Solanum lycopersicum: one gene and its partner. The protein of the gene in region 2 binds, or shares a complex with, the protein of the main gene of each other region. Links are inferred from orthologs where the notes say so. Each region holds a gene or a part of one and is shown on either strand. Other genes may lie near its edges.

Region 1 (4,257 bases), on a different chromosome or scaffold from region 2:
TTCCTCTGATTCAATGTTTACAGCTTTCCTCTTTCTTCTTCCTTGTACTATTCGTTTTTTCCTTTGGTCTAAGCTCTTCCATTGTGTGTTCTTGTATAACTTGATTTGATTTTCCCAATGATCCTACATCAAACCCAAAATCTTGAGTTAACCCCATTGAAAACGATGGTACAATGTCAACAACATTGACATGCAAAGGGATACCTCTGGTAATCCTCAAAGATGAATATGATTCATTCATTGTGTGACCAATTTTAGATCTATCACGAACAAAAAATCGATTATTTCATCAAAATATATGGAAAAAAATAAACAGAATACATATACAAATTTTGAATAAGTAAAAAGAAAAGAAAAGAGGTAAACAACTAAAATTAAGGAGTACTTACGAAATTGACTTCAACTTCGGGAGGGAGTAATCTAATTTTGGACAACGATTTGAATTTCAAACTGGATAGTTGGAGTATTAAATGTAGGAGAAAAATTTGGAATGTGAAAAGGAGAGAGGAAATTGTTTTGTGTATAATTATATACAAAATTAGAAAATAATGTTTTTATACCATTGGTTATATAATAGGTTGTGGACCCCATTAAATATAACAAACAAAAATAAACTATAATTATATAAGGTAAATAAATTAAACTATACCCCTATAATATAATTAGCTATTAGTGTTTGCCATCCCATGTAATTTTCCCAATACAATAAGCTTAATATTTTTATTTAGATATTACACTTTTACTTGAAAAAGAACTTGATAAATATTATAAAGATAATTTTATTTGTAGATTTAATTAACAAGTAATAATATTAACATCATGTAATACGTTCTGTCAATATTTATAATTATATTTTTAAATTATAATTTAATTTAATAATTATAAAAAAATATAATTTTTAGAAAAGTGGACTAACCTGACAAGCATGTAGTCCACGTACTTGTGGGCTGGGCAGACCATTTTTTGACTCACAGAAAAAATAGACTAGCACGATTTGACCAATAAAATATCAAAATCTATATAAATTAACCCAAATGAGGTGAACTAATCCATATTGATAGCTCTACCACTAACTATTTACAATTTCAACATTATCATCAATTACAAATGCATAAAACAATTTCAACATTATCATCAATTACAAATGCATAAAAATTTAAGAGTTTATATATTGTAATTAAAATTAAGATGTCTGAAATTAAATGCGTATCTTAAATATGAAGATATGATAATGGTATTTGTTATTAAAGCATTTGAATATATATAATTTCTAAATATTTAAATACAGTAAATATATTTATTTTTTGCTGAACAAATATAATTGAATGTATTTTATTTAAATAAAACAATACTCCAACTAAATATTTTATCAAAAAATATTAGAGAAAATTTTACTCTGGAAAAAACAAAATAGACATTAGAGAAAAACCTGAATAAAATAAAATAGACACACACTTTTTAAGTACTCTTGAGATTTTAGTAAATTTTTTCCGATATTACCCTCAATCAACAAAGAGCCCTAACTTCTTCTTGTTTTTCCCTCCCATCCTTCACCTGCGTTGTTCCTCTGCGATTTCAGTAAGTTTTTCTCTCTGCATTTTTTGTATGCGTTTTGATCACCTTCTAGGTTTATCTGTTTTTTTTTCCATCCGCTTCTTTAATTTTTAATTTGCTTTGGTTTCTGCTCAAATATTCAAAAAAAAAATCAAAAAAACGAGTGTTTTCAAATGTTGATATGATTGAATTGTTCGGATGTTGTTGTTTATAGTTGCATTTTTCTGCTTCGTTTTTTCGAATAAGTGCTATTAATTATTTTTTTTATCAGTTAATACTGTAAAAGAGCTGATGATTCTTAATTGATGCGACAGTGGGGGAGTAGTATTTTTTGTGATTTCCTTTTGGTGTAAAATAGAACTTGTAAATGAAGCTGAGTCCATTTATAGTTCATAAATTTACTGCATGCATAGTCAGGGATCTTTTGGGTTTTCGATGTAATGTTCTGCGCAATCTTTGTGCTTTCCTTTGTGTAATATATGTAGCATTTCAATAAAACAAACTTTATGCCGTGAGCTGAAGGAGGCTTGTGAAGACCTTAAAGACTCTTTATAACCTCCTTTAGCATTTAAAATCAAGGTTACTACATGACTTGACAATGTACTTGCTTAGTTGCTTAATACACTAGTTACACTAGCAATGCTATGTCGATTTTCTGCCGAAAATGTTTTACTATATGAAGCTGACTTGTAACTCCGTATTCGAGCTCTTTATGAAATAGTACATTTTCAAAATAAATGAAATGTAGTAGAAATCTCAGTTATTTTATTTGAAGTAATACACCCCCAAAAAGTTGGTTCTTGATATAATATGTTTTTGCACTTAATCAAGGTGCGGGAAAACTGGCCCAAATACCACATATTTTTTTGTCTTTTGCAATCTGGGTAGCTGTGTTGGCTTGGTATCGAGGATTGGTATAGCTGACAATGAATTTTGGATAGATGCTTAGTTGATGAATTTATTGATATTTACTGTTTGGTCTGGTCATAATGAAGCTGAATGATGGTTTAACCAGATAATTTTTTGGATTTCTTTTGGTATTTTCTCTTGCACGATGATTAGAATTTTCTAAATCTAATTATTTGTTATTTGAGTGTCAGAATGGCATCTACGGGACAGCCACAGTCTTCGTTAAAGAGACCTAGTCCTGGAGTTAATAGAGACGGAGATAAACTGGTTATCACCCCTTTAGGGGCTGGAAATGAAGTGGGACGGTCCTGTGTTTTCATGACTTTTAAAGGGAAAACAATCATGGTAGGCTTTGTCGTTCTTCTACGAAAAATATTTTCTTGGCCACAAGATCTGAACTTGATTAATTACTTTTGATGTTTTTTGCAGTTTGATTGTGGCATACATCCGGGTTACTCAGGCATGTCTGCCTTACCATATTTTGATGAAATTGATCCTTCATCTATTGATGTTCTTCTTGTTACCCAGTAAGTTTTCTGTGCCAGATCTCAGTTATATGATGCTTGTTTTATTGTTTGGGATATTGTATCTCAATTGGACACTGCAGCACAAGTTTTTCTCTTTTCTTTTTCCAAGCATCATTTGATGACTGGCTACCAATTTCTATTTCGTTTTCTTCATTTTGATTTCTTTCTTGGTGGGCAATTTTAAATGTTGATATCTTGGTGTACTGCTTTAAATGTTGAGTGTTAGATGCATTTCCATAATTTTGGTCCAGATTGGATTAGTTTCTCTATATTAAGAGTTAAGACGTTATTTCTCTTATCTCTGCTTCTCAACTTGTCTGTGCGAATGTCTGAGGAAGAGAAGACATGTTCAGGTAGTATCTATTATAGGAATGTGAAACATTATGCTGATTATCCTTTTGATTATTGATCCAAGCAAAACACCAGGCGATTCTTTCCATCTGTTCCTAGCTTTGGTGGACAAAATTACCTGGTATCTTTTGTGGGTGGAACATGACAGGTATCCCGTCGTACTAGGCTCTCATACCACGGTCATAAAAATTAAAAAAAATAAGTAATAATAGAAGACCAGGAGGAAAGAAGAAGTGAATGTTTGTATGAGGAAATTTTCTTTCACATTTAGAGGTATAAATCCATACTAAGACTGAAAGTTTTTGAACGAACACAACCCTTCATATAAGAAGTTATCGGTGCATTTGCAACCTTTGTAAGGATGCGTCATTTTGTTTGCCCTTTTCGATAAGGACAGGGTTTTGTTTTTTAAATAAGGTATTTTTAGGCTTTAAAAGGATCTTTTGATAATTTTACTTTCAAGTTTAGGAGTCATGCTTTTAATACAACATACATGTTGGATGGGCACAAATATCTATTGGTTTGAAGTACTTAGTTGACTCGTTTATAAATGGTTCAGACAGGGAACAGATGCATCAAAGTCATTGAAGAGTGATTAAAAGGAATGGCCATAGTTAGAGAAAAAGAATCTTGGATCACAATTCTTCTAAGTGTTGCCCACCCGGCCAATTGCTAAACATATCTTTCTGTTATTGAGTACAAAATTGTGGGTTTGATTATTCTTATATATTTGTTAAGGTTAACATTTTTTAGATATGCAACATCACTTTGAATCTGCTGATGAAGCTTTACAAAAAGTGCAAGGCACTGAGCAGACCGGTGATATAATTTGTGTCATTTACAGAAGAAAGTCTGCACGAAAAGGCTAACAAAAAAAGGTTCTATTCTTAAGGCTGATTAGGTTGTTCCTTTTGCC
Region 2 (3,513 bases):
AACCAAAAACATGGTATTTAAGTGGAAGAGGGTAGAGGGGTGGACCCAATATCCTCCAAATTTTGGATTGTGTGCCAGCTGGTCATCAGGGATATCTTGGTTACAATATTTTTTTTATTGTTGTTGTCACAATGGAAATTGATATTGTTGAACTCTATTTGACGAGAAAAAATTAATTGACTTCTATTTTTTTTTTCTTGACAAAAGGTAACAGAATTGACCTCTATTTCTTTCATAATCTTAATCATTTCCTATCTAATTATTTTACTGGCCTAATGCATAGGCAGCCCCTAAACTTGGCAGGATATTTCAGTTAGAGACCTCAACTAAAGACTCGACCTATTTAATACCTGAATAATACTGAAAATGTTCCGATTGAACACATATTTTCTTATTCTAGACAACATAAAATGCATGAATGCAACTCGCTATGGCAGAAGCAACCAATAATACAAAAGCAGGTTAGCAAAGGGAAAAAAGTCAAGATCTGAAAAGAAAAAAAAGAAAGAAAATGAGTTGAGTGAATGAAGCTCCGGTGCTCTCCCTTTCTGACAAAGTCACAAATCTGTTGAGTTCAAAGGAATGTTTAAAGATTTTTTTGACAGCTTAGACAGCAGCTACCAATTGTCGGATAAAACTCTGTTTAAATTCAGCCATTTTGAACCATGGGATGGTCTTCAAAACTCAAAAATCTTCTCTGTTGACAAGTTGCTTGTTGGAAAAACTGGTACTTTCGGCTATTTTGGAAACCTGGAAGTGATGGAATCTACTACGTCAAATCTGCATACAACTACCAGAATAGGGAAAATGCACATTTGACCCGTCGCCATGGAAGTTCATCTGGAAGACCAAGGCCCCTTACAAAGTCTGCTGTTTTTCTTGGCTTGTAGCAAGAAAAGCATGTCTCACTCAGGAAACTTCAAGAAGGGGATTTCATCTATACTCTGGATGTCGCATGTGTGGTGAAGCCAGAGAAAATAATAGTCGTCCATTTCTACATTGACCTAACTCCTCTAGATGGACAATCGTGGCAACTTTTTTTGAACTTGGTAGGACTAAGATGGTCTATGCTAGCAACAAGCTGTGATATATTGAAGTGCTGGAACTATGATGGTAGTGCAGTGTGACAAAAGAAGTGGTGGAAACTTGTCCCAACTTGTATACGGTGGACAATTTGGAAGGAGAGGAGATATAGAATTTTGAAAGACTAAAACAGTTCTGTGCAGAGAGTCAAGATGAATGGTATTTTTTTTGTTTCATTTTTGGTGGAAAGAAACTATGTAGAGAGGTTCAAAACTCAGCGGAGACAAAAAACAGTAGGTGATTCTTCCGATATATTCTAGCCTTGGTGGACATAGTTACCTTGTACCTGGTGGGAGATGACAAATATCCTGTTGAATTAGTTGAGGTGCGGACACCATAGTCATAAAAAAACTATGTAGAGGAGACTGAATCAATAGTTGTCATGATAAGTTCCTTCTGAAAGGGTAGTCTTAAGCAAGCTTGGGTTTTTGTAATTGTAAGAAGCACTTTTATGGTGCATATCTAGTATGTATTTATATACACAGGGTCACACACATGTTACAAGTTTCAAAAAAATGCAACTCAAGCTCTTCCATTTGGTAACCCTCCCACAAAACTTAATGTGTTTTTACCATGGAACTTTTTGAATCTTGAAAATCCTTTTTCTCAGCAAGCTTCGATCGGATGATATGTCCATTCCTGTCCTGCTGAGAAATCACCTATTAGCCATCTTCTTTCGTACTCTCTTAACAACCCTCACCCATACAGGAAAATCATGTCTGTCCCAGCATGTATCTGGTGGACAATCTGGAGAGAGAGAAACAATAGATGTTTTGAGAGCAAAAGTTGTGATCTTCAGAAGATCAAATTGAACCGTATCAAACTTTCTTGTTTCTGGTGCAAACAGATGTACCTAGACGACACTGGGTCAATTATTGAGATCCTTGGCTCTATTTAGATTTTAGATTCAGATATCCTGTTTTATTGAGAAGTTGTAATTATGGTTTTTAGTACAACCTACTTAGAATAGGAACAGGTATAGAAATAGTATATAGAATCCTACTTGGAAAAGGATTATAATGTAGTGTCCTAGTTAGAAAATGAGTCTAATGTAGATAGGGTCTCAATGTAATAATGTAGACGCACAATTCAATAATATTCTTCTCCTATATGTCTCACATCCACCATCTGCAGTTACCACTGTTGCCAGTTTGAACTTTGACATGTGCCTTTATGCAGGTTATATTGAGCCTGTAATGGTTATCCTTCATGAAAGGGAACTCACTTGGTCTGGGCGCGTCTCTTGGAAACACCATACTTGTATGGTCTCTGCCTTTAGTATTAGTACAACGTTGAAGCAGCATCCACTGATATGGTCAGCCACTGTAAGTTACAATGATCTTTGTTGCCAGCATTATTTATATATATTCTTATTAGCTTGAAGGAGAGAGAGAGAAGAGGCAACAAAGAAAGGAGATCACTCCAGTAAGAGCTATTTCTTGATGATGACTGTATCACAGTTCTTTCTATTTTGGGGTTTGGTTTGGTGAGGGAAATAAGGTCAAGAATGCTGCTTAAGTTAAGAAGTTCTATCCTTCCGTTTCATTGAGGTATCACTGTAATTACACTTGATGACAACCTTTAGCTGATGAGCTCATATACTAATTCTGGTCTTGTTTGTCTTCCTTCTTTATTGTGTTTTCTTTTTTGTCAGTCAAATTACAATTATTTCCCTCAAAATATTTTCCTCATATCAACAACCTAATAGAAGAGCTTTTGAAGGTATAGAGATGGACTTTCTAAAATTGAGCAGTAGTCTCTTATCCCTAATTTCTTTTTGGTGCATCCGTGGAGTACCAGTTTGTGTAGAAGATTGGTGAAGTTTGTAGAAAACCATTTTGTTTTGTAGTTTTCTACATTTTGGAATACCTTTGGTATACATGCTTTTTTTTTCCACCCAAATGTTAATACAACTTGTTACCTTGTCAAAAAACAAAAGAAAACAACCTAAACCCGGAGTAACTTTGTTGTTGCCACTGATTAGTCATTTCCTGTGGGGCAAATATTTCTCATCTTTTGTTTCCTGCAGTACAAACCACATTACTTAACAAAAGAACCAAGAATTTATTTTATTTTGATTTGTTTGCTTTTTTTTGTTAAGTCTGTTAAACAGTAATTTTGAGCTTAAGGTTCTATAGTGTGGAGCACAAGATGTTTCAAGCATGGCCTCGGTAATGAAAATGTGATTCCAACTTATCACGAGAGAGTTGATTTGGTGGACAGCGGGTACTAAAAGGCTGATGATTCAAATATATATCATGAAATTTCAATAAAAAAATTTGACGAGAATAATGCAAAAGTACTTTACCTCTTTAAAGGGGTCGTTTGTATGCGGGATAGGATAAGCTAGGATACCCCATGTGATTATTTTATCCCACCGTCTATATGGGATAGCAATCCCATCATTTTAGAAAAAAGGGGGGTTACCAT

The links.
Region 1: cleavage and polyadenylation specificity factor subunit 1 (region 2) and cleavage and polyadenylation specificity factor subunit 3-I share a complex: the UniProt entries of both Arabidopsis thaliana proteins name them as parts of the CPSF complex. The link is inferred for Solanum lycopersicum from reciprocal best matches to the Arabidopsis thaliana genes CPSF160 and CPSF73-I.

What each region holds. Positions count from the first base shown.
Region 1 is NC_090806.1:62,060,112-62,064,368, forward strand, and holds the start of cleavage and polyadenylation specificity factor subunit 3-I, read left to right. Parts: upstream 1-1,449; 5' UTR 1,450-1,578; intron 1,579-2,648; exon of another isoform or gene 2,649-2,654; 5' UTR 2,655-2,655; coding exon 2,656-2,808; intron 2,809-2,892; coding exon 2,893-2,990; intron 2,991-4,257. UniProt on the Arabidopsis thaliana protein: Component of the cleavage and polyadenylation specificity factor (CPSF) complex that play a key role in pre-mRNA 3'-end formation, recognizing the AAUAAA signal sequence and interacting with poly(A) polymerase and other factors to bring about cleavage and poly(A) addition.
Region 2 is NC_090802.1:2,563,873-2,567,385, reverse strand, and holds part of cleavage and polyadenylation specificity factor subunit 1, read left to right. Parts: intron 1-2,262; coding exon 2,263-2,408; intron 2,409-3,513. UniProt on the Arabidopsis thaliana protein: CPSF plays a key role in pre-mRNA 3'-end formation, recognizing the AAUAAA signal sequence and interacting with poly(A)polymerase and other factors to bring about cleavage and poly(A) addition.